2 separate regions of the Mus musculus genome follow, and region 1 is reported to be linked to region 2. The links are microRNA targets in miRTarBase. Many come from high-throughput screens and were not tested one by one. Region 2 holds a microRNA gene; the other region holds the end of a gene's coding sequence.

Region 1 (16,420 bases), not on the chromosome of region 2:
AGTGTGCAAAGCCTCTGGGTGTCTCAGACCACAGGTCACCTCATTCATCTTTCCCCTGGCCAGGGCTGTATTTACTCTAGATAAGCAAGTCTGCTGGGAGGCAGGGCACAGCCAGGAACTGCCAAGGTTCTAATCTGCCCAGAGATGGGGCTCAGAGACCCAGAGTCAAAGAAGGACCTGGAAGAAGGACCACATAAGTTCTTGATGTGACAGAGGAGGGCTTCCCAAACCATGCTCAGAGGAACCCTAGCTTAGCAATAAGCACTGTGAGAAAAATGTTCTGCCGTCAAATACATGAGAAACATGACACATTCCTCCAGCTATTCATGGGAACACGGACGGGTATGACCATGTGACACTTAAGTCACATGATAAAAACATTCTTTTTAGTCCCTATTTTCCCAATTTAATTGAGTCAAACAACTCTTTTCTCATCCAACCCTTAACATACCACTGAGCTGGTATCTGAGGAAATTAATGTCAATAAACATTGATTATAGCACGTTGTGGGGGGGGGGCTTTAATGTTCATGCAATCTTGGGAACCCAAATATATTCACATTGGCATCTCAAATCTACTAGTTCACCAAATCTCTCATGAGGTCACTGTACCCATTTCACAGATGAGAAACTAGAGGCTCAAAGGGTTAAAGAACCTGGCCAAGGTTAAGAGCTATTTGGCTATGGAGCCTGTGCACTTTCTGCCTCACTGAATTGCAGATGCCCTACCTATCTGCAGCGTTTCCCACATGTAAGGATAGCCTGATTCAGTCTTGCAGAATCAATTATCCCATGCTAATCTCAAGTTTCTGATTGACAAGTGTGTTCTTAATTGATTTTGATGGGGGAAATAAACTAATTAGAGTCTTAAGAATCATCACCTTGGCGCTGGTTCCATGTAGTAAAATATTGTATTTGATCAACACTTCACAAATGGAAGCTTTGATCTTGTGAGTGGGTGGCTGAACAGAGAAACTACTAAAAGACGTTCAGGACAGTGAAAAATGCCAGGGTAAGAACCAGGAATGAAAAGGGATGACACAAAGCTAGTGCTAGCCAAGCTGAGGACAGACCTCAGCCTCCTGCCCTCCAGCTCCACACACTCAGCTCCACCCGAGATGGGGCCATGGGTCCACCTGGGGGCCAGTTAGGCCAAGGGTAGGAAGCAGGCAGGCAGGCAGGCAGGCTAACACACTCCTGGCGCCAGTGGGGAGCAGGTGGCCAAGACCAGCCTATTATCAAGAGCTTAGAATTCTGCTTCAAGTAGAAGGAGCCAGGCCACTGGGAGAAGAGACCAGGAGGGAGAGGGGGAGGGGAAGACACACCCTCTCCATGCCCCCCTAGATCTCTGAAAGCCAGAGCTACAACCAGTGGTTGAGTTCCTGACACCAGGCAGAGACGAGGATAGAGGCCTGAGGCTTTCAATACTGTTGTTTAGTTCCTTGCTATCCTAAAATATTTATGCTGATAATTAACATTTATGTCCAGCCACAGCTTCCTCCACTGAATTTTTAAAAGAGATTTTTATTACATTTATTTATTTAGAGAGAGTATGTATGTGTTAGTGTGTGTGTGTGTGTGTGTGTGTGACTGTGTCTCTGTGTGTCTGTGTGCATCTGTGACTATGTCTGTGTCTGTGTGTGTGTCTGTGTTTGTGTGTGTGACTGTATCTGTGTCTGTGTGTGTATGTCTGTGTGACTGCACATATATTCTGTGGTATATTGTGGAGGTCAGAGGAACTTGTGGAATCTCCTAGGAATTAAATCAGGCCATCAGGCTAGGCATCAAATGCCTTTACCCAGTGAGCTATCTTGCTGGTCCTGGTGGCTTCTGTGCCCAGACCCATCTCCTATCTAAGTCACTTCCTATGAAGAGTCGATAGCTCTGACTGAATGAGTAGGTGGAGCTTTGGCCACACCTGAACTGTTAGGCAGCAGCCAGGGGACTGGTTTCATTATCTAAAATCCTTGGCTTTAACCTTGTCGTGTTGTTACCACCTCTAGGCATTGAGCAAGCCTCTCTGCTCCTCAGTGACTTATCTGTAAAACCCCAAGACTAGACCAAATGATTAGTAAGAACCTCTGTCTTCCCGTGGTGGATTCAGGATGGGAGATGGAAAGGGACAGCCCTAGTGAGTGTTCAGGGAGGCAGCCGCCAGAGTCTATGCTCAAGATAGGAGTTCTGGCTGTTTGGTCTAACAGGTACTAGGAGAGGGTACCCAAAAAGAATCAGCCTCAGAGAGCAGCCCCTGCGTGCGTGCGCTGGTACCCAGAGGGACTAGCAGAGCCCCGCCCCCAACCAGAGACTTGAAGAGGCAGCAATTGGTAGTTCTTTTTACCTTTTCCCTTGCAAAGCCAAACTAGGCACACTGCTGCCCCACTGCAGGGGGACAGGGTTGGCCAAACTCCCGGTGACTTCCCAGAAGTCCCGGGTCCCCTGGGACGGACTCCACCCTAGCTGGCAGCCATCCAAGCTAGGCACCCACGTCAGCAGGTCCTCATGGCTTCTTTGCCCTTTCGTCCAGTGACAGTAAGACAAAGGGATAGGCTCGCTCACCCTCAGCCCCAAGATGAAAAAAGTCTGTCTCCAGGGCGGCTCCCCTGTCCTACTGATATCTCAGCTGGCTCAAGATAGTGCCTGCAGCTGAGGCTTCATGCGCTTCTCTCTGGGCCTCAGTTTCCCCTCCTGACATGGCCCTGGCATGAATACAGAGTGAGAAATGCCTAGGGGCCATAGCCAACTCAAAGGACGTCTCCACTCCAGCCGCAAAACAGTCAGGCACAAATCAAAGAGTGACCGGGGGATGTTCATGAGGGCAAAGTTAAAAGTTTATTCTAAGGGTAAAAGTTTTGATTAGTGAGCCTGGCTGTGGTAGGGAGTGAGGGCCAGTCTGGCCATCTGCCCCACAAAGGTCAAGCACTGTCTCTGGCCCTGGTAGGGGCCTGGGTCAGGTCTGGATGAGTCACTCGATTTGAGAATTACCAAGTTGGGGGTGTACTTGTGGCTAAATGTGGGTGCTGAGCACTGCCCCCCTCAGGGGTGGGAGCTGAGCAGGAGCAGAAGGAGGGGGAAAACCCTGCGGAGAAGGTAAAGGGGCTTCTGGATGTCAGGTGAGGGGCCAGGGCAGCACCTGAGGGCCCAGCCAGCAGGGCCGAGCAGGAGAGCTGTTTTGTAGGCAGCCTATCCAGGCAAAGGAAGCCAGGCAGGAGGGCACTGGGTTTTCCTGAAGGGCATTATTCTTTAATGGAACCCAGAGCAAGCTGGTGAGAGGTAGACAGGTGCTTTGGAAGGGTTCCTTCCTCTTCGGGGTGGCTATAGATGGCTACACATACACACACATGCACACACACACACCACACACGCACACGCACACAGGAACCTGTGTTTTCAGATGATTTTCCAAGGGCCTCTCACAGTTGAATACTCCAAAGATTCCAGAAAGCTTCCCCAAGCCATTTGTCTCCTTTACTTCCTGAGGAAGATCGGGACAAGCGCTAGGGCATGGAATAACAGCTTTAGGTCATGGGCCTGGACCCCAAGTACAGACAAGGCAAAGGAGCCCAGAGACAGACAGCAATTTGCCCAGGGTTACACAGCTGGAGCCATAACCATGCTGTGCCCTCTGTGTAGAGCTCTGCCCCTAGTGTCATATCCAGAGAGGAGTCAGGGGTCCATATACTGTGTGGTGCTGGTCTGAGGGACAGGAAAGGACAGGATGAGACACTGTGCTAGCTGGTAGCATGCCCAGCTGTCGAGGTGAGTTGTGGATGGCTGTGGGACCCAGCTGGTATGCACAATCTGTTCTCGCCCTATTGGGGTGCAGTGAAGCCAGGCACCATGGCTCAACTGTACAGCCCCTGGCAGAAGGGGCACAACCACTGGATAGATGCCACAGTGGGGCAGGGAAGCCATTTTATGGACAGTCTTGAAGCCTTTACCCCTGCCCCAAACATCTGTTTCCAGGCCTCTCTGAGCTTTAGAATCCTAAGGACCGGCCCTAGGCTGTCAGAGGTGGCTCCACTGGAATGCAGTTACTCCCAAGCTGGGCGATCTCTTGGAAACGTGAGAGTGTTCTGCCACCTCCTTCATTATTAATCAGCGTGCTATTGTGGGGCATTTGAGATATACCAGGCTCTAGGCTAAGTGCATCAATACATTATTTCATTTATTCCTCCAAAGCCCTTGCTGCAGATGATATATTAGCCCCATTTTACAGATGTAAAAAGTAAGGCTCAAAAATGTCTTATGTAGATGGGAGAATTTGAACTCAGATCAGGCAATGCTCACAATATCCTGGTCTGTAATATAATCATGATGTGTATATTAGGACTCCCTTTGAAGGTAGAAGTTAGAGGGGGCCATTACAGGCTTGCCAGGGCTCCCCCCCCCCAAAGTTAATGTTTAGCTTTATGTAGTTGGGAGACCTGGAGTTCATAAATAAGCCTTCTCAGAACTTCCCAAATAAAGCACTAATAACTTTCAGCTAGGAGGAATCCAGGAAGACTACCTGGAAGAAGCAGTGTTTGGTTGAGATTTCCTAAGACCCAGAAAAGAAAAGATACTTGGAAATTCTGCCTACATTCTTTCATTCTCATAATTCTCTTAATAAAAACTGAAGTGTTTATGCTCACTGGTCTAAGTGGGAGAAGCACGTGACCAGAACAGATTTCATTTTCAAGTAGACACGATCAAAGAGAAAGAGTCATTTGTTCGAGGTCACAACACCACTAGGGATAAGGCCAGAGCTTGTGCCCAAAGCTTCTGGTTCTCATCCAAGACCCTTCCTGACTCCTCACCCCCCACCACCCCCCACTGCCCCCCACCGTCCCTCACCGCCCCAGACCGCCAGGAAGATTTTGCTGCAGTTTCTGTTTTGAGAAGGGTTTGTAGCTCAGACCATCTCTCCAACTCTCACTCTCTCCTGCCTCAGTTTCCCACACGCTGCGGTTACAGGCATGCGCCACTCTACCCAGCTCAAGGCAGAAACTTTGATAGTCACTTGATGTGCAGAGGGGCAGGTCTGACTCTGCTTGGCTCCCAGATGGGAAGAGTATAAGCACAAATGTGGAGGATGGAGGCAGAAGAGGAGCAGGATAATGACACACTCGTGCACACGTGCACACGTGCTCACACACACATGCACACATATGCATGCACACACATGGGTATGTGCACACACATACACACACGGGCATACTCACACATGCGCACGCGCACAGGCACCCTCATGCACACATACATACACACACGTGCGCTCACACACATATGCACACATGGGTGCACGCACGCACGCGCGCGCGCGCACACACACAGACATTCGCACACAGGCACACACTCAGAGTCTACTTTTGAACCAAATCCCTAAGAAGACCCCAGTCTTAGACAAGGTGGAATCCCCCCGAGCACTTATTAATTCAGCTGTAGGGATAAGGTTGGGCCATTGCTAGGCCAACCACTCAGGGAAATTGCAAGCTGCCAGTGGTCACCGCACCACCACCAATAAGCTTTGGCTGCAGCAGAGACACCATCAAGAGGCCTTGTGTGCCTCAGTTTCCGTCCCTCCGCACTGAATCATCATGTCACAAGCCATTCCATCCAATTACCTGCCCTCATAGTCACGGGCACTGAGGCCCACAGAGGACAGAGAGCATGGCAGAGCCCACAGGTATTACACAGAAAGCCAACTCTCAACTGACTACCTGACATTCACACACATACATTATCTCCTGCCTACTGACAAGCCTTCCAGCAGAACCAGGAGCCAGCTCCTCCCAAGAGGCATGAGACACTCAAGTTTTCAAGAAAGCAGATTCAAGTTCAAACTCGGATTGCTAAACTTCCAGGCAATGTGACCTGGAAAAGTCTAAGCCTTCTGGAATCATCATCCCAGTACTTCGTGTTACAAACTAAAGGTTAGCCCGAAGCGCTGGACATGGGTGTGCCCACGTATGGAAAAGCAGACTCAATAGCTAGGGCCGGAGGCGTCAGACATGGTGGTGCAAGCCGGTTACCCTAGGACTTAGAAGGTGGAGGCAGAAAGAGCAATGTAGTGAGTTCAAAGCCAGCCTAGTCTACAAATTCAGACATCCAGGCTAGCCATGGCTACATATCTAAACCCTAGCAAAGAAAGAAGTGGGGAAATGGAGGAAAAGCCAAGTCCAAAACCTGCAAAGTGGGGAGGGAAGGGGATGGGCAGAGGAGGAGGGACCCCTGCCAGACCAGCCCCACAGCCTGTGCTTTCTCTCTTCTCCCCGGATCTCTACAGGCTATGGTCATGCGGCGCCCAGCACGGACGGAGGCAAGGTGTTCTGCATGTTCTACGCGCTGCTGGGCATCCCGCTCACACTAGTCATGTTCCAGAGCCTGGGTGAACGCATCAACACCTTCGTGAGGTACCTGCTGCACCGTGCCAAGAGGGGGCTGGGCATGCGGCACGCCGAGGTGTCCATGGCCAACATGGTGCTCATCGGTTTCGTGTCGTGCATCAGCACGCTGTGCATCGGCGCAGCTGCCTTCTCCTACTACGAGCGCTGGACTTTCTTCCAGGCCTATTACTACTGCTTCATCACCCTCACCACCATCGGCTTCGGCGACTATGTGGCGCTGCAGAAGGACCAGGCGCTGCAGACGCAGCCGCAGTATGTGGCCTTCAGCTTCGTGTACATCCTCACGGGCCTCACGGTCATCGGCGCCTTCCTCAACCTCGTGGTGCTGCGATTCATGACCATGAACGCCGAGGACGAGAAGCGTGATGCGGAGCACCGCGCCCTGCTCACGCACAACGGCCAGGCTGTCGGCCTGGGTGGCCTGAGCTGCCTGAGCGGTAGCCTGGGCGACGGCGTGCGTCCCCGCGACCCAGTCACATGCGCTGCGGCCGCGGGAGGCGTGGGCGTGGGCGTCGGTGGCAGCGGCTTCCGCAACGTCTATGCCGAGGTGCTGCACTTCCAGTCCATGTGCTCGTGCCTCTGGTACAAGAGCCGCGAGAAGCTGCAGTACTCCATCCCCATGATCATCCCGCGGGACCTCTCCACGTCCGACACCTGCGTGGAGCACAGCCACTCGTCGCCGGGAGGCGGCGGCCGCTACAGCGACACGCCCTCACACCCCTGCCTGTGCAGCGGGACGCAGCGCTCGGCCATCAGCTCGGTGTCCACGGGCCTGCACAGCCTGGCTGCCTTCCGCGGCCTCATGAAGCGCAGGAGCTCGGTGTGAACCACAGCCAGACCTGGAGCACCTGTGAGCCAGAGGGGTAGGGGACCTGCCTGCAGAAGCCGCAGGAGTTGGCCAGAAGGCCCCCCAAAGACGCCTTCGGGCCCCATGGGAAGTCCCCAGCCCATCACCACCACCACCACCTCTACTCTTCCCCAGCCCCTAAATCTCCAACTGTGCAGGCTATCACTAGCCAGCAGGAGGCGGGGCTCTGAGGACCCCTGGAGCCCCCATCGGAGCCGAAGAATTCCGAGAAATGTGAAACTTAGGGGGTGGGGAGCCCGGAAAGCAGCCACGGGGAGCTGCTGAGAAGCCCCCAGTCCTCAGAGGCCCTACGGGGGCCCCAGACCCCTCACCTCCGGAGGGAACTAATGTTCTCGGGTTTTGTTTTCTGTTTTCTGTTTTGGTTTGGTTCTCTCTCTCTCTCTCTCTCTCTCTCTCTCTCTCTCTCTCTCCCTCCCTCCCTCCCTCCTTCTCTCTCTCTCTTCTACTTACACCTCCTCTGGGTTCTCCAAAGCCCAAGGTGTTTTTGTCCAGGTCACCCCCACTCAGTCCCACCTGGCTTTCATCCCCAGCCATGTCTCCCAGCCTTCCACTACCTTACGTGTCCACTCCCTTCTGTTTTTTGCATGGCTATGCAGTTATGGAAGAAAAAAAAAAAAAAGGAAACCCCAGCAGCCCCTAAAGCTAGTCCCCAGAGGGCAAGATAAAAAAGAAAGAAAGAAAAAAAAAAAAAAGAAGAAGAAAAAAAAAGGGCAGGCCACAGATGTTAGAGCAGAGTGTGTGCAGAAACTGTGGCTTCCACCTCTGCGGGGTGGACATCTGTAGGTGAGCCACCTGGAGTCTGGGAACATTCTCAGGGGCTCCTGAGAGACTCCAGCCTTCAGGACTGCCCTTGGAATCTAAAACATGGACTCCCCTTTGCTGTCCCTGGCTGCAGCTGCTCATTCACTCGTCCATAGGTTGTTTTTTTTTGTTTGTTTGTTTTTTTGTTTTTTGTTTTTTTGTCCCAGAAACCCTGTGCCACCTCCGTATTCATTTGAGTGTAATAACACTCTAGTTAAGTCACCTGGGCAGTTCTTATGGCCATTTTTCAGAAGAGGAAAACAGGTAAAAAAAAAAAAATTTTTTTTTTTACTTGCCCGGGGTGTCTTGAAGGGGAACAGCCTGCCGGCTTGTTCCCAGCCCAAGTGCTCTTTCTTCAGGCTCAGCCTGCCCTCAGAAGCGAAGCCCCTGCAGGCAACACCCCAGCTTTGTGTAGGCAGCTGGGGTTTAAACCAGAATCAAAAGCCCCAGCCTGAGCCACTGCCAGGGCTCTGCCTCTGGTACTCTTTAGCCCAGAGACTGAGGCTCTAAATGGACCCTTGTCTCTGTTCACAAGCAGGGAAGTCCTTGGGACCAAGGTAAGAAGGACTGAGTCTCATGGACTACAAGCCAGCAGTTGGCACTCTTGAGAGTTCAGGGACTGGGCAGAGCAGCCCAGACAGCTGACAGGTATATCCTGGGACGTTTTCCCTGGCCTAGAAGCCAGGATAAATGCATCCTAAGTTGCTAGAGTAACTTCCACTGCAGCCAGGAACACCCCTCTGGAGGGAAGGAGGTATTGGGCCTGCTATGCCTTCTACCTCCTCTACCTGCAACCCAGTGGAGGGTGGCTTGCTACTGGGGACAAGCTGGAGGTGGAAACCAGGACAACAGAAGGGTATGTGTGGGGCTATGGGTATAGCCCCAAGTTTTATTCCCAGTACCATGAAAAGGGAAACCTTTCCCCTGCAGAGCTGCCTTCTGCTCACTGTTCCCAGGCCTAGCTCCATACTGCTGAGTAAGGCCAATGTGACCATTTGGGGAGGTAGAGAGAGAGCCCCACCATGTCCTCCAGGTCCTGGGAAATCCTTAGGTGGAAGGAATCTGGCCTGTGTGTATCCCATGTCCGTGTGGAGGAGCTGGCCCCTGTGTCAAGGGGGAATGGAACCCAGCAGCTGGAGAGGTGCTGTCTGTGTTTATGTTGGGCTGGAGGCAGTGCTGGCTGCCTCTGTCCTGTGTGTGACCCTGCCCTCGAGGGGTCAAGTCCCGTCAGATCCGAGGGAGCCACAACCAAAGTTACAGAGAGGGTGGGGAAGGCAGCAGAGTGGCCCTAGGGTCTAAGCATGGGGGACTGCTGGTCTCCTGTAGGGTCTTTGCCTAGGGAACTAGAAGGCCACTGTCACTTCCTGTCTCACCCCCTCCCATGCAGGCAGCCTTTCTGCTTCCCCAATGCCTTATGCCTGGGCACACTGCCACAGAATATGCAATATGTGTGGGTGACATCCCCACACCCACCCGGGCAGCCCCTAAGTCCCCAGGCTGTGGCTGCCCTGGCCCCCTTTTCAGCAGCTCCTGCCCATCTGTCTTCACACTGAGAATGGCGCCTAATAAATGCTGTCCATGGAGACCAGGCTCTGGTTCCCGCTCCTCTGTCATTAGTCATTCACCCTGTCACCCTGTCACCCTGTCCCACCACTCACCTAGTGCGTTCCCCTGGGGCTTCTCAGACTGCTTTGGGTGCAGGTTTCTTGTGTAGAAACCTGGGAGTGAAGCCTGGCTTCACTTAGGATTTTCTCAAAAGATCCAGAGCTCAGAAGATTCCGTCTTCCTGGAACAGACTGTGAGAACAGGACCTTAGAAATGACTGGGCCCTTTCCTCCCTCTGTACACAAGTAAACGAGGCCAACGAGGGCAAGTAACTTGCCCTGAGTCACACAGCCATGAATGGCAACCTAGGTAGGATAAGAAGCAAAGCTGGTGACTCCCCACTTTGTCTCCTCAGCTGACTGCAGAGTCAAACAGGACATGCCCCAGCCTCCAGGGGTGACCTCAGCTCCTCCCTGACCCCAGTAGCCTGATGGACACAACACACACACACACACTAATATCACTTTCAAAGATGGGCACATCACAAATACCTTTTCTTAGGGTGTGCTACTCATGGTCTAGAGTAGCACATGCTTGGGGATGGACCCTAGAGCCCAAGACAGATATATAGAAAGCAGATGCACTGTGCCCAGTTGGTACCAACACCTGACTCAACTAGCCAAGGGTATCCAGGCTTCCCTAAGCATGAACCATAGTAATACCTTTGGCACCAAAATCTGTCTGCACGCCATGACTCACAACCACCCTACCACATTCAGGGTGTGCATATCCGTTCTATTCCTTGTTTTAAATGCCACCTGGGACCTATTTGGTTGATTCCCTTTACTCACAGATAAAGACATGCTAGAGAAACAAGGACCTGGGCTAGAGACACATTCCCTTAATCTTTCCTTCTATCTACTTAGACCAACTAGAGAGATAGGACATATTTGTGGAGAGGTTCTGGGTTCAAAGAAAACCTGTGCCCTTTCCAGGACACACCAGCCTCCCTGGGATGAATCTCTAGGCATCCCTTGAAGTAACAGCAGGCAGGTTCTATGGCATGTTTCTTGGTAATCTACTGGCCTCTGTTTGGGCACAGTAAAAACCTGGCTCATCCACTCCTAAGACTACTTCGTCTTAATCAAAGCCCAAAGGTTTGCTGCTCAGCTCTATGAGATACAGCGTCAGCAGAGGTGAGTCCTTCTGGAGGTCAGTGGTGTCCAGCACATGGTCACTTGGACTTTCCTAAGCAGTGCTTTGCGGGACACAAACATGGCTCTTGCCCTACTTTCAACATCGCCCTGGACAAAGTATCACAAACAGATGTTGCAGGGATTCCTAGAGGGGGCCTGCACCCCAGTCCCACCCAGAGCTACCCAGAGCTCAGCACTAACACAGGATCTTCGTGTCCAGACACTGTCAGTGCCCCCCCCACATGCCCCCAACCTCCTCACCTCTGAGGCTGCCTGAACTGAAAGACACAGGAAAATGGACGTTGAAAGCCTGCAGAGGAGAGGGAACGGGAGCAAATGTCTGAAGTTCCCACCAGCACTGGGATTTGGGTGAGAGTCAATGGGAATAAGCTTCCTGGGAGCCAAGAGAAAAGAGGGATGCAATGGCAGCTCCTCTCTAAGCAAGCCAGTGGCCGCTCATAGGGGAGGTGCTAAGTTGGGCTTGGTGACTCATGCCTGCAATCTCCAATTCAGAAGGCTAAGGCAGGGAGATTGGCATGAGTTTGAGGCCAGCCTGCATATAGCCTGTCTCAAAACACCAAGAAGGAAGAGAAGGGTAGTCCTTGCTCTAATGAATTTGGAAGAAGGATGCACACATCACCACTGTCTGAACTCCACAAAACTCTAAGCTTAGTAAAAGTTTTTAGAAGACCTGCAGCGAAACCACTGCTCGTTTTGAGTAACACTCAAACTCATTCCATACCAGATCCTCTGTTGGCCTGATACTTCCCAGACTTCCCAGGGCACACTTGGGGACCTCCTCGGCTGTCACAATATCACTGATAGGGAAGTAGGTCTTATCCTTCCCTCTTATCCCCAACTAGGGTCTGTGGATGTAGCTCAGTTGGTAGAGTACTTGCCTAGCATGCACAAAGCCAATGCTTGATCTCTAGCACTGCCTAAAGGCGTCACATGCCTATAATCCCAGCACTTGGGAGATAAAGGTAGAAGGATCAGAAGTTCAAGGTCATCCTGGGCTACATAGCAAGTTCAAGGTCATCCTGGGTTACATAAAGTTCTCAATAAATGAATGAATTAATAAACAAACAGGTAAATATAAACTTTAATAATTGGTAAGTCATCTGTAACTGGCAGCTCTAACAACATGAAATACACACTAGCAAAGCTCATTATGTACCAAAAAAAAAAAAGGTTCAGAGCAGCCAGCCCACTGGTCTAACAGCAGGCAGGGAGTTGATAGCAAAGCTGAACATGGAACCAGGGCTAATGTTGGTGGATGAAGCTCGTGCCCTCACTCATCATATTGCTCACTGCCTGGCAGTGGTCACTGTCATTAGAAAAGGTCTGGCCATTGAAGAGTATGAGACCAAGGCTCCCTCTCCTCCACAGCCTAACAAGCCCAGCCTTGGGTGGACTCAGTGTCCCCCTGTGGCTGAAGCAACTGCCCTCCAGCTTCTCCCCCCACCCTTGCCAAAGGACATCGAGAAATAGACGTATGTGAAGCAGGTGCCCAGATCGGAGGACCAGCGCCCACCTTTCAGAGAAAAGGAACTGGATTCACAGAAAAGAAATGATAGATCCAAGCTCATGAAACAAGATACTGGCACAGCCAGGGTTAGTAGCCACAGAACCTGGCTTGTCAACATGTACACACCCAATTCACACACACACACACACACACACACACACACACACACACACACACACACATACATATTCAGACACACAGACTCTCATGCACATACACACAAGAGTGTGTAATTCACACACACATATTCAGACACATAGACTCACATGCACACATGCACACAAGAGCATGCACAAGCTCAGAACCCTGGCCCCTCTGCTCTGACTTTGGAGGAAAGTTCTAATCCTGGAGTTGAGTCACTTTTATGCTGGAAATTTACATCACATCTGGACAAACTAGAAGACTCACATCCCCTTGTCTCCCAGCTGCATAGAGGACTCATAGATGGGATTCTGATGGTACTGGTCTCTTTGATCCCCTCTAGTCAGTGATGCACACACCTGGAGAGTCTACATCAACAGCATTTGACCACAAGGACAACACTGTAAGTTAGGCAAGAATTGACACCCTCATCAGAAAGATAAAGGTCTTGCCTTGTGACCAAGGTCACAGAACTCAGTATCAGAGGCACTGAGCAGAGCCTAAAGTGTCTCCTTAGTGGCTGCTGTGCTGGGCCAGAACAGCAGTCAGGTCCTAAGGGATCTGAGACAGCCAGTGCCCTGTTGTTTACAGCTTTCTGGTGGCTGGACAAGGTCCCAAGCTTAAGGAGGATCCAGGTGGACACAGTTCCAAGAATTCATTGGCAAATAGGGACAGAGTGTAAGGGACTCTTCACGTACTTCACCCTGTCCGTGAAATGTCCAGCCAACAATCTCTGCCCTCAGCAGGAGGGAACAAAAATCACACCTCTGACCCTACATTCATTGGCCACCTCTACACGTCTTCATCTACCACAGTTCTTGCTCCCAGGAATAGGGTACCTGTACACAGGCCATACACAGTCATGGAATGCTGTGATCTCATTCCGGGATCAGACTGAAGTCCCAGAAGTCCTGAGATTTGAACTCTCCAACATCAGGGCTGAGAGACTTTGGGCCAATAGACTGTGAGGATCCAACCCTGGAGAGCAGAACTGTCCCAGGGTAGAGAGTCTGCCAGGCCCTCTGGCCTCGCTCTGGGCTTTACCCACTCTTTAAGTGAAGAGTTCTGCCTTGCCTTAATTTGAGGAACAACAAAGCTTTAGGCATTTACCTGCTGGGGGCCCTGTGTAAAGATGTCTTCTGGCCCTTCTCAAAGATGGAAGAGGATGTGCCTTCTAGGACCTGGGACTGAGCTCAGCCCTCCCATGAACCACAACCTTGCTGCTTAGCCCTTCCCAAGCAAGAATCTGCTGAACAGCCCAGCCCACAGGACCCCATGCTCTGAGTGACTCCATCTCCCACTATGTGTTAACTCTAAGGACCATCATGTCTTCCTTCCACTGAGACAACAGCTGTGTTTTGAGGCTGTCACTGGACAGCAGATGCTTTCATCCAAACAAGTCAAAGTGGCTCTCCACAGGGACAGGAACCTCCAGGCTTTCTTGGGTCAAATACCCAGTTGTTTCTTTCCCTTTCCTGTAAGTATACACCTGGATGCCCCCATCAGCCTGACCCCTTTCTCAAGGACAGCTTTCTTGTTTCTCCTACCCAGGAGCTTGCTGTGCCACACAGACACTCATCCCCTCTTCTGCTTTGAAAGCCATTCCCATTAGGAACACAAGGCAAACATTCAGATGCTGCCTCCACTGACTTCACGGCCCACCAAGAGCTCATCATGAGGGTCATTGTGGCAGACTCAGTGGACTACCGAAGCAAGAGCCATTTCTGCAACCTTCTGCCTGATGACAGACTGCTGACATCTCTCAGAGGCTCCTCCTTCCCTGAACCCAGGCCCCTGCAGGGATTCAGCTGATCCCAGTGACCTCAACATTAGGTCCTGTCTCAGTTTGGGGCTCTTCAGGGATGGCTTCAGTGGGACTACTGGGAAAGGCCTTTTTCCTATAAGAAGGCATCAGAGGAATAGAAATATGCCCTATACTTTGACTAGACAGATCTGTGTACCCTTCAGAACTGTGGCAGCCATCTTGTGACCTTTAGGGAAACACTAGATTCAATGTCGATGGTAGGGAGAAAAAAGCAAAGGGCTTTGCTGGGCTACTGAGAAATACCAGGATCCCTAACTAGAGGAGCTCCTGTCATGGGAAATGGAAGGTGATGGACCCAAATGCATTGTGCTACTATTGAAAACCCCATGGCCCTTCTGTAATAGGATACTGCACAGTCTATGCCTGGAGGACCACAAGGAGGAAGAAACAGGGCTGCTAGGTGGTTTGTTCATCTTCCCTTCAGGGCTTAACACTAGCCTGGTTTGTACCTCTTGTTCCTGTCTTTTGAAGGACATAGAGGGCCAGTCACAAAGATTTGTGTTTTTCTTTGGTGTAGAGAGGTCCCTCATCCAGTCTAGCTCAGTTGGAAACTTCCATCAAATCCACTGAGCACTGGTATTTTCCCTGCTCCCAGGACAGACCAAGCCTCAGGCTCGGGTAAGGAACTTAGACATGGAAGCGATGCGTTCTCCTCCGCCCCCTCCTTCTATTTCTGGCTGTTCCACAGTCAGCTGGGAAGAACGACAAAAGAGACAGTAGAACCCTCTCTGAGGCCAGGACGCAGGTGCTGGCACCCACTGGGGTCCAGAGTCCTCTCAGGAGCCTCTCCCAGCCCTTTACACAGAAAGGCAAGCTGATTTTTCCACAATGCTTGCCCCTTGAGAGCCCTGTAGCCTCCTCTTGTCCCCAAACCAGCCCTCTGCTATCTTCCATCATCCAGTCAACACACAGGACACTCAAGCATGCTGACCATGCCAAACAGTGCCCCATGAGACCCTGCCAGTTCTGCCCCTGTCCTGTCCCTCCATCACAGGAACAAAAAAGCAGCAAGCCCTTCATCAAGGGTAACCCCCAGACAAGAGATGTCCTCTCCTTCTTTGGGGTATTTGAGTGAGTCCCGCTGCCCCATGTGACTGGGTTTCATGCCCAAGTTTCTACCTACAACTGCAGGCACCCTCCTTCTCCACCTTCCACCTTGCTAGTCATCCGGTCTGAGGAGAACAGAGAGCACCTTTTTGTCCTTGGCAGTGTGTTCTGGTGGAAGATTTGGGGGTAAGAGAAAATATTGGGGTGTGCTACACATCCTCTGGAGCAGGCCTCTTCTGGGCTTGAGCTATGGCTCCATTTTTATGTCAGTCTGAGATGGTCCAGTTCGACTATGCTGGCATCCCTGCCTCTCTGTAATGTTCCAGGGTCAGAGACTGGTCCTGCCACACACATTGATTCCTCCTGTCTCCCAGCTCCACATCTCCCCCTGATTTGATAATCTAGCCTTCGGGGCCATTATTCAAGCCTTTGATGAAAATATCAAAGAGGACAGGACCAGATAGCAGGCTCTTAATTCCAGATGACATTTATTCCAGCATGTTCTTTGTGAGCTGTTGCTGCCCCAGCTCCTCACCTCTTCCTTTTATGTATTCTCTAAAACAGTCTGTTTAATCGAAGCTGGCAGGAGGCAGGGGTTCCAGCGACGTTCGTTCGCCACTCCTTAGACCCTGGGATGTCACGACCTGGGCTGGGGACTTGAACTTCCTGATAATAGCAGGCTGAAATAGCAGGCATTAGTAAAGTGTTCACTGAGCATGCACAAAACCCCATTTGATCCCCAGCACACCATAATCCAAGTGTGACGGGCACACACCTGTAACCTAGCACTTGGAGGGTAGAGACAGGATGACCAGGAGTTTAACATCACAAAGTCACCCTCAGCAACCTAGAAAATTTGGGGCCAGCCTTGGCAACATAAGACCTGACTCAGAAAAAAGGAAAGAAGGAAAGAAGGAAAGAAAGAAAGGAAGGAAGGAAGGAAGGAAGGAAGGAAGGAAGGAAGGAAGAAAGAAAGAAAGAAAGAAAGAAAGAAAGAAAGAAAGAAAGAAAGAAAGAAAGAAAGAAAGAAAGAAAGAAAGAAAGAAAGAGGGAGGAGGGAGGGAGGGATGAACGAAGGGAGGGA
Region 2 (16,420 bases):
GCTCTTCCAAAAAACCAGAGTTCGGTTCCCAGCACCCACACCAGGCAGCTCACACCCACCTATAACTTGAGCTCCAGGGAAGTTATGCACTTACCACACACATACATAGGATTAAAAATAATTTAAAAATTAAAAACAAAAACAAGGAGAGATATCCACCTTTTGTAAGACTTTAAGAAATAATGGAATTTGTCTTCTTCAGACAGAGATCGAAGGGAGGACGCATGATGCCTGGGCGTGTCAGCTCTGCCTTCGGCAGCTTGTACATCGCAGGCTGTCTGTCATTCACCTAGACTGTGATGTTATATAAGCACTCACGTGACTTCACAGTGGCCAAGATCAAGTGATCTCCAGAACAGTTTCATGATGTAAATAAACCATAAGGACCATCTCAAACAAAAATACAAACCCAACAGTTGGCACTGCATTTTGGGGCTCTATAAACAATAATAGCAGAAGCTGTATCTCTATGTGTCTTTGAGTCAACAGTTACAAACAGAAACATGGCGGTTTGCTGATGGTCTCGTTATAGGAAACAACTGACAGAAAATACTCAGCCTGACATCAGTGAAATATGAGCTCAGCTGATTTGCCTTCTCATTTTTTTTAACCAACTAAATGGATACTTTTGCTTTTTGAAAGCTAAGAGTAACTACCAAACTTAAATAACTTTCCTGTGCAATTTTGTTTCTTGGTCTTGTATTCAAATACCAATTAGGTTTAATTGGATATGATAAAGGCTCAGGGAAGTTATAACAGTCAAAACAGACTTCAGGGGAGGCAGAGTTGTCTCGATTCTTGACAGAGTTACATCTGGAATTTACCTTGAGGGGACTTGTTCACGTGTTCAAGAGGGAGAAGAAAGGATGAGTGAGTGACAGGAAACTAGAATTGTGGTTATAAATATGTTATTTTCTGTAATTTTGTTTGACATTTTCTCTCATCTTTTAAATAAGCCCAAATTTTAAGATATTCAAAAGTCATACATTTTTGTCACCACTTATGTGAAAACTATTAGTGAAAAATCAATGAAGCAATTACTCTTTGCCTGATAATTATTTTTATTTAGCCAACACGTAGTTTGCGGAGGACTTTGAACAGTTACTAATCAGGGACACTGGTAACTCCAGGATTTAGTTTACTCATCTGAATCATAGAAAAGTTTAGTGTCAACCTTATATGTAATACGCTGGTTTATTCACCCCAAAATAGGCATGTTATTGCCTTATTACTCAGCAAACTACATAGCAACAAAAACATCAGTCTGGCTTCTCCCATCACTTATTCCACCAAACTGATCTTTCCAAGGTCACTTAACCTCCATGCCACTGAGCCCAGACATCTTCAATTACTTGTTTATCACATGGAAAGCCTCAGTATCATTTGCTCTTATTTCTCATGCACTCTGAAGCCCTCCTTGGTTCCTCAGACAGTGTGTTTGGATGTTCTCTTCTCTCTCTGGCCATATCTCTTTTCTTGGCCCACCCTCCATCCAGCCTTTAAATGTGGCTGTTTTCCAAAGCCCAGTTTTTGTTTTTGTTTTTTAGATTTATTTATTTATTTATTTATTTATTTATTTATTTATTTAATGTATGTAAGTATACTGTAGTTGTCTTCAGACACACCAGAAGAGGGAATCAGATCACATTGCAGATGGTTGTGAGGCACCATGTGGTTGCTGGGAATTGAACTCAGGACCTTTGGAAAAGCAGTCAGCGCTCTTGACTGCTGAGCTATCTAACTCCTAAGGCCCAGTTTTAGTACCTTTAGTTGTACTCTAAACTTTTTCTTGTGTGACGCTGTCCATTCCTGCTGCCAGTTCATAACAATGCCCAAGTGTGCCACTGAGTTGGTCTCTTGACATACTCACTTGACCTGGCTATCTCAAGGATACCTCAAATCAAATATAAAGGGTCAACTTTGGAATGAATATTTATCCCAAAGAAGGGCACTGCCCGTTCTCTAGTTATTGAAGCTGGAAACCTTGGGGAGATTTTTGAAAACTCCTCTTTTCAATAAAATTCAATGTCAAGGCTTGTAAGTTTTCTTTTTATATGATTTATTTTTATTTCAATTATGTGTAGGGGTGTGTGTGTGTGTGTGTGTGTGTGTGTGTGTGTGCTGGTGCCTGTAGCAGCCAAAGGCTGGTCATACAACCTGGAAAAGGAGCTGCAATTACACACTGTTGTGTGTTACCTGATGCTTGTGCTGGGAACCAAACTCTGGTCCTCTGACAGGGCAGTGAGTGCTCTTAACCACTGAGCCCTCTCTCTAGCTTCCACTTCCTTCCATCTTTACTGTATCAACTAAATCTAGCGTCACCACTACAAACCTGGACCTAACCTCCTCGCTGGTCTTGCTTTTCCTCCTAATTCACTCTAGGCAATACAACCAGACTGAACCTTTAAAAGAATATTCTGAAGATTAGGGAATACAGCTCAGTTAGCATGTAAGAAACCCAGCACCAAGCAGCTAACCCAGGCTTGGTGGCCATGAGAGCAAGTCAGAGCCCACCTGCTAAACATTAGACCCTGTCTCAAATGAATGAACTACCATTTCTTTAAGCTGGAGAGATGGTTCAGCTAAAAGCACTGGCTGTTCTTCCAGAGGATCTGGGTTCAATTCTCCATACCCACATGGCAGCTCACAGCTGTCTGAAATCCCAGTCCCATACAGCACCCTCTGCTGGCCCATGGATACCGCATGCACGTGGTGCACAGGCACACAAGCAGGCAAAATGCCTATATACACAAAATAAAAGTGAAAATAAGCAATAACAACAAAACATTCTAAGCAAATTCCCGATTACCACCCCTCGATCTTCTCACTAATCCAAAAGACTAGCATCCCAAAACTCTGCCAGCTCCCACTTGACATGCCAACAGTCCACCCTCACAGACAGCATCTCATGGCCTCCAGCTCGCCGCTCCCACATCTCGGAACTTCCGTGCCGCCAACGTTCAGTGCTCCTCCCCAGTCCTTGCCCTTTACATATACTCTCGACTCAGTTCTGAAAAATCTGCCACAGCCCACCCACCTTCAGTCAACACCCACTTATCTTTCTAGCACTTATCACAAATGTCACTCAAAAGGCGTGAAAGAATTCCCTCATAACTAGAAAAAGTTAAGATTTGCAGTATGTACTTACATAAAATTGTAAAAGATTTATTCGAGTGTGTGTGTTGCTGATGATGGAGGTCAGGGCCTTTGGCAAACTAAGCATGCCACTGGATCTGCAATCCCCTGCCACTGGATCTGCAATCCCCTGGCCCAAGTTCAAAGCCTTGAAGCAAATTTATAATGTACATAGTTCAACTTGGTGAATGGGAACCTTAAAGGGAAAAGAAACCTCTTTCAAGTGTTCCTCTAGGAAACAATGTGGATAACGTTAAGCAGCCCAACAATCTTTACAGCTTTCTTTCTATGGGTTCATATTTGTTTTCCTAAAAAATGTTCTCCAGCAGAATAATAAAATAGATCAATCTTGAGATTCCATCTTTAAAAATCGTCTCTCACTATAATGCAGTTTTTAGGGATCCAAGGAAACTCCAAAAGCATGGTAGGTGACCCCTAAACAGAACACTTAGCACCCTAGTTAAAAAGCTTGATGTGTGTGCGGGTGGGTGGGGGAGCACCCTCTCAGGCAAAGGGGCAGATGGGGTGAACAACTCTGGCGGGGGTGGGGGGAAACCCAGGTCGGGGGGGAATATTTGGAATGTAAATAAATAAAACAATTTAATTAAAAAAAGTTGAAGTTTCAAAAAAAAACCCCACAAAGTATAAGAGATAACACCTAATTTTTAAAAAAATCATAAAATCACAGCATCTACACAATCACTTGAAGCATATAAGAGAAATGTTTGTAATAGGACCAAATGTAAAAGTCAAAATAAAAAAAAAGTGAAAATGGAAATTAGGTTTTTATAAGAGGATATAACGATCACATGAATTTATAATCATTATATAAATGTTTATATAATGAATATAAATTCCTTTTGATTCTGGTACTCTTGGCGGGGGGAGAGGGGAGGAGGTACAGGTATTATTTTTAACCTTAAAAATATTCTCAAAAATTTGACTTCCCTTTGAAATGCTAAGTCTTCACTTAGTAAGTTCATCACTTCAAAGGTTCTCAGGTCAGAAAGCATATGAGAAAAGAAGGGGTTAAAAGGCTTCATGGCTTGTTTTTCTAACTCTAAGAAAGGTTTTTAGGTTTAAACTTTTTCCTACACAAACCACTGATTTACTGACTTGATAATACACTATTTTCTCTTAGAACTCAAAGAAACACTTAACTAGATACTGAAATAACAAGGAAAAGGTAAAACTTTAAAATGTATTAATTCAGGGCGACAAAGGTAACGTTCATTTCCACTGGTAAAAGACAACAGAAAAGGGAAGTTTTCCAAGTTTCCTTCCAAAACACAGGCAAGAGGACAGAGTCTGATGCAGAAGTCGTTTGCCTCTGCTGGAGTACAGATCACAGACCACCGGTCGTGTCCTCCGCGGGCACTTTGTCACCTCCATTGCTCTCCTTGCCTACTTGGTAGGTGCGGAGTTGTTCCATGAAGCCAGGATTCGGACATATGGATGGTCTCGCCTCTTTCACCAACGACAGGGCAGTGGTGAAAGTGGCTTCTTCAGAACTCATGAGGAAGCCAATGACAATTGCAGCAGCCCTGGAAACACCTGCATTACAGTGCACGAGAACCACGCCATCCTGAAACGCCGTCAAACAAAGTTCATATTAGACACCTGAGAAGGCTTAATTACACATTCTTTTTTTTTAAAGATTTATTTATTATTATATCTAAGTACACTGTAGCTGTCGTCAGACGCACCAGAAGAGGGCATCAGATCTCATTACAGAGGGTTGTGAGCCACCATGTGATTGCTGGGATTTGAACTCAGGACCTTCGGAAGAGCAGTCGGTGCTCTTAACCACTGAGCCATCTCTCCAGCCCTAATTACACATTCTTAGTAGACTCAAAACTACAAAGTAAATGACTTGTCTATGTATTTACCAGAATACATTTCATTGCAAAAAAAAAAAAAAAAAATGAGGGAAAAAAATTGCATTGCAAAAAAAAAAAAAAAATCATCCAATAAATATCTGCTCTTGCCCAGACTGAAATGCTCGGATAATGTGGTTGGAATTCTGAAATGGCACTTTTTACAGGACTCAAGTGATTCAGCCCAGTACACATAAAAGCCTACTAACTTCCCATGCATATAAATAACTGGTGTCACTGGCTTGAACATCTATATACAAAATGACTGGCAGGGGAAAAACATTTTGCCCTGGGGAATATTATTCTGTAAGGAAGTAAATTAAAAATGTTTTTAACTCATCAGTAAATGATGGCTTGGACAGCTTATAAGAACATGGAGTGGAAAAGGTAACTGGACACCAGCAGTGAGGTCAGTGAGTGAAGAGCGTCTCGGGTGACCTGTAAACGATACTTTACAAGAGAAATGAACAGTGTGGGTGGATACTGATGGAGGCAATAGCGTATTAATAATGAATGGAGTAGATCTGATGGGTCAGCACTGATACAGCCTGGCCTAGTACAGGCTTCTAAAAAGTTAATGATCTATAGTGAACAGAGCACACACACCACAGAATTAGCCCCTTCAGCAACTTCCTTTCTCCACTCTTCATTTGCTACCACAGAAAAGGGACAGGACGAATTAACAAATTACTGGAGCCCCTATCCCGCAAGCACGGGGCACACACTACTGTTGTTATGGGTCACTTGGCTATTTTAGGTTTTCAAGGCAGCTTCCTCACATCTGTGTATCTGTGGTACAATTTCTTTCTTAACCCATTCTATCAAGCTTGCAAGTGTATCTCTTCTAAAGAATGATTAGCGGTGCGCTCCCTCAGTGCAGACCCGGTGCCTCTTTTGTGAAGCGGCAGCTGAGGAGACTCCGGCGCTCGCCATGGCCGACGAGAAACCCAAGGAAGGAGTCAAGACTGAGAACAATGATCATATTAATTTGAAGGTGGCGGGACAGGATGGTTCTGTGGTGCAGTTTAAGATTAAGAGACATACACCACTTAGTAAACTAATGAAAGCCTATTGTGAACGGCAGGGTTTGTCAATGAGGCAGATCAGATTCCGGTTTGATGGGCAGCCAATCAACGAAACAGACACACCTGCACAGTTGGAAATGGAGGATGAAGATACGATTGATGTGTTCCAGCAGCAGACTGGAGGTGTCTACTAAAAAGGGAGCCTGCTACTTTACTCCAGAATTTTGTTATAGACCAAGAATACATTCTCAATTAGAAAGCCACAATTTGGTCCCACCACATCCTGACTACTACAGTATAGTTTTCTCTCTTCTTTCATTTCCCTGTCCCCATTTCTTTATTGTACATAAAGTAACTGGTGTATGTGCACACGCATAGTGCTCTCTCTTTCTTTTCCTTTTTTAAACTAAATTACCGATGTTCTGTTCTGGTTGACATGAGATGGAGGTGGTCTGGGGAAAAATACTGGGTTTGTGAAAATACCCCCTTCTCCACTAGTGGCATGCTCATTCAGCTCTTATCTTTATATTCCAGTAAGTTATTTTGCTCTCATTGTTTTAACAAAAGAACCCAACAACAACAAATCCTTGCATACCTTGTTCGATTGGAGAATTTTAATGTTTTTCATTTATCATTGTAAAACCAAGGACAATTTTATAACTTTTTTGTACGTAGCTGTTACATGTAGGGCAATCTGTCTTTAAGTAGGGATAAATTACTCTTGAACAAAATGATCCTAGATAGTTTTCCCTTCAAGTCAAGCGTCTTGCTGTTTAAATAAACTTCTTGTTTAAAATGAAAACAAAAACAAAAACAAAAACAAAAAAACAAAAAAAAAGAATGATTAGCAACAAAATGACCAGTATTTTAAAATTTCTTACATCAACAAGTATACTTCAAGTGTTTTCTTAGACATAACTATGATTCATTTTCTTGTTTTGTTTCTGCACAAAGAAAGGAAAATAATGTTCACTATATACATCTATACATCAAGAAATGTTCTCACTTTTAAAAAATTATTTTTATTTTTAAAAACAATATGTGTCTGTGTACACTCACAGACAGTGGGCTTATGCACATATGGGTGCAGTGCACATGGAAGCTAGAAGAGGGCTCTGGAACTAGAGAGGGTTGTGAGCTGCCTAGGTACTGAGAACTCACTCCGAGCACTTAACTGCTGAGGCATCTCTCTAGCCCCCCCCCTCTCTCCTTTTCTTTTTTTGTTTGTGTGTATGTGTGTGTGTTCTGCTTTTTGCAGTACTGAGAACTAAATCTACAGCTTTGTACACACTAGGAAGCACTCTATCCCCAGTCCTTTTTTTTTTAACTTTTCATTTTAAGGCACGTTTTCCCTAAGTAGCCCAGGGTGGTTCTGAACTCACCCAGTGCTTCTCGGTTCTCCAGCTCAACCTTTTTCTTCTTCTTCTTCTCTTTTTTTTTTTTTTTTTACTTTGTACCAACAGCTAATTTTTTATGACTTAAAATGTTTAAAAATTATATTACAACAACTTGAAAATTACTATGTACATATGTATATATATATATATATATATGTATATGTGTGTGTGTATCAGTTCAAAACAAATCTTCAGATCTCAAATTTACTCATTTGAAAGTATTAATATTTTCTTTTCACTACGTTATATAACCACTTTTCTTTTTAGGATTTATTTTATGTATATTGCCTGCATGCATGCATGCATGGGCACCTTGTGTATGAAGTACCTTCAGGTCAGGTGTTGGATTCTCTGAAACTAGAGTTACAGATGGTTGTGAGACAGCAAATGGGTGCTGGGAACTGAAGCTGTGTACTCTGTAGGAACAAGTGCTCTTAACAGCTAGGCAAATCCTCCAGACCCAATAACTACTTCCTATAGCTTTTAAATTCCTTCCTTCCAGTTTTATGTAAACTGTCCTTGAAGGTACTTGCAAAAGAATGGTTGGATTTTACTCCTTGTTCTGAGAGCTTAAAAATACTGAAGCAAAGTTCCCTTTACACTTACTGCTATGCTATGTCTCACAGACCTTTACCTCTTCTTCGGGCAGCCGACCCTGGCTCTTGTCCTAAGAAAACTGGCCCTCTGCAGGTGAGATGAGAGAGGAGGGCTGTTTCACCCATCTTTGAATCTCTAGCACTAAGTTCAATTCTTAGCATATAGTAGGAATTCTGTGAATGTTTGCTAAGTAAATAAATCAATTTAGTGTGCACTTGTGTAAAGAAATCTTGTTACCCTAAAAGTTCACACTAAGGGAAGATGAGCCATCCAGTAGGTAAAGACACTGACTGTCAAGTTTTCAGTCCTCATCCAGGGAAGGGTCTTGGTAATACAGACACTCATGACCAGTCAACAAGCAAAAAAATAAGCCACTGTGCAGTGCTCAGCCGTAAATGGAACACGTATGTGATAACCCCTCCCCTGAAGGCTCCAGGAACATTGTGGAAGAGGGGGCAGAAAGACTGTCAGAGCCAGAAGTCGAGGCTGGGTGCAACAGTGTCTTCTGAACACGGAAGGAATGCTGCACTCACTAACCCACTGCAGCTGATGGTGCCTGCACCAGACCTGCACAAGACCAAGCCAGTCAACGCTCCAGCAGGGATGGCGCGGGCTCATCAAGTCTTGACCCTGCTTGAGGAGCTATTGACAAGTTGACTGGTATTAGGGAATGGAAGGGTCAGTTTTCTTTATAAGTATAGGTTAACTACGCTCCAGTGGGTGCCCTATGCCCATGGGTGCCCCATGCTGATGTTTATATGGACAGTTAATCAGACTCAGTGAGTTATTGAAAAAACAAACAAGGACATGAATCTGGGAGGGGGATGTGGAAGGATCTTGGAGGAGTTGGAGGGAAAAGAGTAGGGGAGAAATATGATTAAAATACATTGTGTCCATGCATGAAATTCTCAAAAACTAAATTTAAAATGCTATATTAAAAATAAAATTAGGGCTGGAGAGATGGCTCAGTGGGTAAGAGCACTGACTGTGCTCCCAGAGGTCCTGAGTTCAAATCCCAGCAACCACATGGTGGCTCACAACCATCTGTAATGGGATCCAGTGCCCTCTTCTGGGGTGTCTGAAGACCGCTACAGTGTACTCATATAAATAAAATAAATAAATCTTTTAACATAAATAAATAAATTAAATTAAATTAAATAATGAAATATTTCCAATCCTTTTTGGATAGTCCACTCTGTCAGTCAGTGAAGCAAGACTCAGGTCCTACCTCATTATCATGCTGAAGTCTGACTGCAAGCATCTGTCAGCACAGGTCACTCTGACGACATTCATGACTGTCTAGACATGGTGTTGTAGTTTGAATATGTTTTGAGCATGTTCCCTAGAGGTTCATGGTTTCAAAGCTCAGGTTCATGCTCAAGGTTAGGAGCTGGTAGATGTGTAGCTGTTCTTTTGCTATTGTGTGAGTTCTTCTTCCTTCCACCCTTCTCCACCCCTTTTCTTCTGCCTTTTCAACCTCCCAACACTAGATAGAGTTGAAAAAAGGGATAGAGAGGAGAGGCAAGAGGTCCCTGAATAAAGTCAGGGGGTGCCATTATCTTTAGACTACTTCCTCTTGATTAGGAATGTTGATTTCCCTGGGGCAAGTTTGATCTTCCTTGTGAAGATAACTAATTTCTACTTCTGGTTCCTTCTTCGCACATGACTACCTAACAAACCACAATCAACAACAACCAATCAACAACCTACACCACCTCTCAGGGCCCTAGCTTTTATATACCCCCTGAAAAGTCCCCAGAATCCCAAATGTCACAAAATTAGAGAAACTAACTGCAGCTGGCAAAATCACACCCCAGCTAGAGCATGAAGCAAATCATAGTCAGCTGCTGTGAAGCCGTCCCATATCCCAGCCTGAGACTAAAATGAAAATATATTCTTATATTTCTATGTTTTTTAAAGAAAGCAAAATTCCAAAATTGTCACTACAGGCATGCACTCTTTCGTGGAAGGTAATAGCAGAGTTACCATGGAACTCCTGATTAGTTCTTTGGGGAGGAAATTATTATATAAACCCCACCTACAATCTTGCCTGTGGATGTGATATTGCTAACAATAAACAAGTCTGTAAGTATGAATTCTATGATATTATTCTGTATTAAAGATGTATATACATTCAGTTATACATAATAATTAAAGGAATTGATTTTGAAAATTATAAACTTAATTATAATAAAAATGTAAAAATATTGACAAAAAATATCATTTCAAGGAACAACTTTAGGTAATAACCATCCTAGAAGCCTTGCCTATCAGAACGTTGATGCAGATCAAAAATTAAGATTAAAATAATACGCCATGCCATGCTGATCTTCTAAAGTCACAAAACCAGCAGACAATTCTTGATTAGGATTCCATATAATCTCAGCACACACAAAAAAATTTTATTCTTCCTTAAAATTCTATGGTTCCAAACACATGAGGGCCAGAGATATGGCTCAGTTGGTACAGTACTTACTTGGCCTCAAAGCCCTGAGTTCCATCCCAGGGCAACATAAAAACAGGCATGGTAATGCACAGCTGTAATTCCAGCACTGGGATGGCAAAGGCAGGAGGATCAAAAGTCCAAGATCATCCTTGGCTACACCAGCAAGTCAGAAACTTAGCCTAAGCTGCATGAGACCCTGCCTCAATAAATATATCAACAAAAATGTAAATGCACAGATACACAGTCTCTGTGCCTTAGTCATGAAAATGAATGAATATTCATCGTCACGAATACGTTCACAAGACTAGAGCAGACTGTACCCTTTGGTCCATCTGGTTTCTTATGAATCAGTCAAAATGCAGGTCCCAATACAGCCTCCGAGGATATGTAACTACATATTTGCAAAGAAAGATTCATTAAGTGAGGGAGTTTATCTCCTAGTGTTTCTTGGTAAGAACTCAGAACAGAACTAAATTAATATAAAAAGCAAACCTCTCATTAAGAAAGAAAAAACCAATTAGAGAATGAAAACCTTAAGGAGTTAGTGAGTATTGCTGGAGGGAAATTTTCACAATGGCTCTTCACAGATCCATTGCAAAATGTACAAAGACTGGGCGGTGGTCCTATGTTTTTGAATTTCTACTTCTGAATAACTGTATCAAAACAAACCTCACCTTCAGTTTTGCTTGCTCAATAAACTCAAAACATTCTGGAAAATAAGACAGGATATTGGTTTCAGGCACATCCAGTATAGAAATGGTCTTATATGTAAACTCACTGAGGAAAGCATTTTCAACTCCATATGCAACATTGAGAATATGAGTCACCTTAAAGGAAAGAAAAAAAAAGATGAATTTTAAGTTCTATGAATCAGATAATCTAAAAATAGACTATAATGTTAATTTCCATAATAAGAATAATCAGAAATATAACTTGACTCACTGAATGATACATCATCTTTGTGCCCTTTCCTCTGCCTCATCCCTCAACAGCAATGCTCCTTCATAATACATGTACAGCCCTTTTGTTGTAACCCAACTCAATGAAAATGAAGACCAGGGTGAACTTACTATCACAAGCACTGAGTGAACAATGACCTTAGCAGAAAGTTCTTAAAAGATCTACTGGGGGAAAAAAAAACAAAACAAACAAACACCCTCAGTTCATAGCCATACAAAAACTTTGGTGACAAGGGGTGGTTTTTGGTCAGTTGGTTGGTTGGTTTGTTTTATTGCAGTGAACCACAGGTAGTAGAGATGATGAGGGACCCAACCTAAAAGGCCTTTTTTTCCCAATAAAGCCTCCCTATATTTCTCAGGTAGAGAACTGCTTACTGATGCTGGCCTTGGGCTGGGATGCCCTTTATAGTAAGGATAGTAAGAGGAGTTCGCTTTTCCTAGGCATGACTAAGAGGGTGACTGTGCGGAGAACGAGCAGGGTGCGATAGAGATGATCTTCTTTTCCACCCCAACAGTGAAGCAGAATGTGGACAAGTATGCCATTAAAACAGGAGCAGTGAAAACAAAAACAAAACAAAACAAAACCACAACTTGCTAATGCAAAGGTTTTTCAGATTCCATTTGCCTCATTACCCTGAACAGCACTGATCAGTTAGTGGAAAGAAGGCTGAAACTTTCTCTCGTTTTGTTGAACTGTTGGTGTGCAAGGATTCTGGTAGGCGATCCAGGCATTCTCACATGTTTACGCAATTAAGGGTCGTTATTTCTCATTATCGTGCTAATAAGCGTAATAAATCAAAGAGAAGCTAAATTAAACACAGGTCTGTAAATTGACAGGCACAGGTATCAGACTAGCTAATGAACTGATCATTAGATATTTTCCTTCGGGAAATAACTGCAAATAATTAACACGTCACATTTTTTATCCTCCATTCGATCAGTTGCTGTTTCCCTCAGAGCTGTGGGTGACAAACATACGATGAGTAAGGTCTTTACCCAGTGTACCACTTGTCTCAGCCCACACCAGTGTGTGTGGGGAGGAGAGGTGGTAGTTGTCCACAGCTCTTCTCTCAGCCGAAATGCTCTTCCCACCTTTATCACAGTTGCCAGTTATGAAGTCTCAGTGAGATGAATGCTCTCAGAGAAGTCAGCTCACACAAGCTGCCCTACCAGTCTCTTGCTGCCTTGTTTGCTCCTTTTAGAGGAGATGATCTCCTCTGAAAGTGTCATGGCAACCTTTACATCTTCCCATCAGGTCTCACTGCCTTACCTATACGCTTTCTTTCTGCCTTACTTCCATAAATGATACATCCCTGCATACTTTGTAGGCCCTTCCTGGTATGTGCACCTGGATCCATACTACTACGTCTACACTTTCCTCGAGTGACTTTCCAGAATCTTCTACTTCTCTAACATTGGCCTTAATGTTAATGCCTTAACTCAACGCCTTCCTGGTGCCACCCAATTTCTCTTACTTGCAGTTCTACCCCTGGGAAGAGACACCATGACCAAGGCAACTCCTAAAAGAAACCGTTTAAGTGGGGGCTTGCTTGAGATTTGGCAGCAGCCAGTCAGTCATGGTGCTAGACCAGTAGCTGAGAGCCCACATCTGATCCACACTGAGAGATGGCATGAGACTGTGCCTGGTATGGGCTTTTGAAAGTGAGACACCTCCTCCAACAAGGCCACAACTCCTAATCCTTCCTAAACAGTCCAGCAACCAACTAGGAAGCCCCTTCTCCCTATAACTAAGCAATCACTGAATTGTAAGGATTTGGATATCTAAGCATATCTCAAATCCACTACTATCATCTTCTCTAAGAGTACTAAAATAACTTCACAGTTGGCCTCTCCATCTCTAGCTCAAGCATTTCCCACAGTCTATTTCCCATGCGGCTTCTAATGAGAAATCTTTTTTGGAAGCCAATGTAATCCTGCTATTTCCCTAGATAAAACCTCTCATTGGATTTCTGCCATGTTTTGGATCACTTCCAGACAACTTGCACTGGTTTTACATGGCCCTCCATACTCTTTTTTTACGCTTACCTCTCTCACTCATTATCTTCGCTCTCACATCATTTTCTGAGCTGTTTCTGTCCCTGAAAATGTCAGCCTTTTTCTTTTCTAGCTCTGGGGTGTCTACACACCCCATCTCTTCCATCTGAGTCCTAAGATGCCTGTTCCTTTCTCAACCCCTCTCAGAGCAAAACTGAAGCATCACCTCCTCCAAGAAGCATTTCCCGAGCCCCCAAGCCCCAAACTAAATAAGACAAACCTGGGTTAAAGGCACCATCACTCTGCACTCAACCACACAATGCCCGGCTGTACACCTTTGGCTTCTTCTTGGGTCCACTCAGTGCATAAGAACCCCAAACCACTTAACATGAGTTGACAACAGCAAATAGCTAAAAATTACTCTGAAGAAATACTGAAAATGAGCAATAAATCCTATTGGCTGTGTGAAGCGAGGTCGTCAGAAGCAGTGTCCATGAGACTGGAATATGAGCCAGGAGCGAGAATAGGTAGATCTGTGACAAGCAGACATGAGGGAAAATCTGACATGAGGGAAAGCAGAGGCAAGAAATAAGCCCTGCCAGAGTCCAGTTCATGAGGGCATGAAGGAATCTGAGAAGAACACAAAACTGAAAGGATGAATTACAGTCCTATATATTTAAAATAGATGCAATTATTTCAGCAATGCTACTAAAAGGATACCCCAAGTGATACAGATCAATCCAAATTATGCAAAAGTGAGGGATACAATCCTTCCCATAGAAGAATGGACATCTTCCTGTATGTGATGCCAGAGTTGAAATATCCATTTTCTTCATTTACCTTATGCTTTCTCAGTAGCTCCAGGTCATGAGCAGCATCCTGTGACCCTGAGGAAATAAATCATATTACCTTGAACATAAGTACAGTTATGGGAACTTTCTGTAATGATTCTCTTAAAAATCACAACAGAGGTGGGCTAGAGAGTCGGCTCAGTGGTTAAGAGCCCTGACTGCTCTTCCAGCGGTCCTGAGTTCAATTCCCAGCAACCACATGGTGGCTCACAACCATCTGTAATAGGATCTGATGCCCTCTTCTGGTGTGTCTGAAGACAGCTACAGTGTACTCATATAAATAAAATAAGTGAATAAAAAAATGTAAAAAAAAAAAAAAATCACAACAGAGGGGGTAAAAATGATTATGGGAAGAAACCAGCTTTGGGAAGGGAAATTTGGTAATATTCATCGTGGAAAATTATCTTTTATAATCTATGGACTTTCCCATTTTGAATAATTTACACTAAAGTCATAGGTGCTGCAGTGATTACCTCTCAGGATGTTCAACATATAACAAATAAAAACAAAACCAGCAAGCAAAACAACTCCTAGTCCAACAGAGGTGCTCAGAATTTAAAGATTACCATAGTGAGATCTGTCCCGCAATATGTACCACTGGAAACAAACATTAAAATAGGTAACACATGGCGATCATGTTCTCAATATATTAGGAAATAGAATTGCTTCAGGGGCTTGGGAAATGGCTCAGCGGGAAAAGTACTTTACTAACACAGGACCTGAGTTTAGATCCGTAATACACACATAAGCTCCAGGCATGCTGTGAAATAAACAATAGAAAATAAAAATATGTATTGCTGAATAACAAAGTACACCGAACAAAACACTAAACGCAGGGTTACAATAAATAGCCCTTTCTTTTATAAAAGAAAAAGAAAAAGGGTATTAAGGAAATCAGACACCCACAGAGTTCAGGGCAGCAGGAGAGGGAACACTCAGTAGCTTTGAGGTTCATGGGCTCCCACCCACACACTGTGTGCCGCTAGTGCTGTGCCTTTCACCGGCTCTTTCTATTGAAAATGGTTCTCTACTCTCCCACATTTGGAGACTGGCTCTAGTTAATAAGCAAACAATTAGCTGGGCGGTGGTGGTGCACGCCTTTAATCCCAGCACTTGGTTGGGAGGCAGAGGCAGGTGGATTTCTGAGTTCGAGGCCAGCCTGGTCTACAAAGTGAGTTCCAGGACAGCCAGGGCTATACAGAGAAACCCTGTCTCAAAAAACAAAAACAAAAAGCAAACAAACAAACAAATAAAAAAAGCAAAGAATGAATGACAGAGTATAGCAGGTTTCCCAAATGATCAAATAGGACATTCGCAATAAAGGATTTCGAGAATTTTACTTTTCTGTGGCTCCATTTCCATAAACAATGCTCTTTTCCATCCCCTTCCATATCTAGGAATCAGCCAGCTTCTCTCACATGATAACCAAGAGGTCACAAGCACACAGTGATTCCAAGCTGAGAGGCTCCTTACTAAACCTGGTCAGCAGAATGTGTGTTCTGCTTCTGTCTACTTGGAAGCTGGACTTCCAAAATATGAGCATTTGGTAAATATGTGTGGTGGGTACAGAAACTCTGTTCTCTCACCATCCTGTGACTTTTATCAATTGGAAATACTTCATGACTAAAAAGGTGATTCTCGGTTTTAACTGTGTTGGGATGGGTAAACAGGTTCAGATACATTAATTTTAGTTTAGTAGTTAATATATCTTTAAACTAATTATTCTATTCTGTTTCTATTTTAAAATAATAAAAAATTGTAACATAACTTAAATGAAATTATTTCCCTTTTCACCCTACACTGACTGCCTTGGTAATTCTCTCTCTGTGTCCCTGTCTCTGTCTCTGTCTCTGTCTCTGTCTCTGTCTCTCTCTCTCTCCATATCTGAAGCAGACAGGTCAGGTCGACTATAGTTGCTTTACTTTCTAAGTGACTTCCAAATTAAGACAATATTGATATAAACATAAATGCTGTGTATTAGGTGTGCTTGTGGCGTTGAAGCAAGTACTCTATCACTGACTCTCACTATGTTGCTCAATCCGACCTCACTCTGGAGCCCAGGCAGGCCTTGAACTAGTTACTATCCTCTCTCAGCTTCTGAGACAGCTCTAATTGCAGCCAATTAAGATTCTTTTTTT

The links. Region 2 holds the annotated microRNA mmu-miR-684 (AGUUUUCCCUUCAAGUCAA, at 6,780-6,798, shown strand). A microRNA usually pairs through its seed, bases 2 to 8, with sites in the 3' UTR of a target mRNA and lowers its output. Matches are read on the target gene's strand: a 7mer-m8 pairs with bases 2 to 8, a 7mer-A1 pairs with bases 2 to 7 and ends in A, and an 8mer does both.
Region 1: miRTarBase lists Kcnk3 as a target of mmu-miR-684. Seed matches in the 3' UTR shown: 8mer at 8,310-8,317.

What each region holds. Positions count from the first base shown.
Region 1 is chr5:30,615,627-30,632,046 of GRCm38, forward strand. Kcnk3 (potassium channel, subfamily K, member 3) reads left to right here. Exons shown (of 2, transcript NM_010608.2): 2 at 6,265-9,644. The coding sequence ends at 7,211. Among named protein-coding and RNA genes, the nearest start is that of Mir5625, 24 kb to the right of the region's middle.
Region 2 is chr2:80,619,092-80,635,511 of GRCm38, reverse strand. Mir684-1 (microRNA 684-1) reads left to right here and starts at 6,722; the gene lies at 6,722-6,807. Dusp19 (dual specificity phosphatase 19) reads right to left here. Exons shown (of 4, transcript NM_024438.4): 2 at 14,272-14,318; 3 at 11,152-11,304; 4 at 3,851-4,720. The coding sequence ends at 4,481. It also overlaps the pseudogene Gm13690.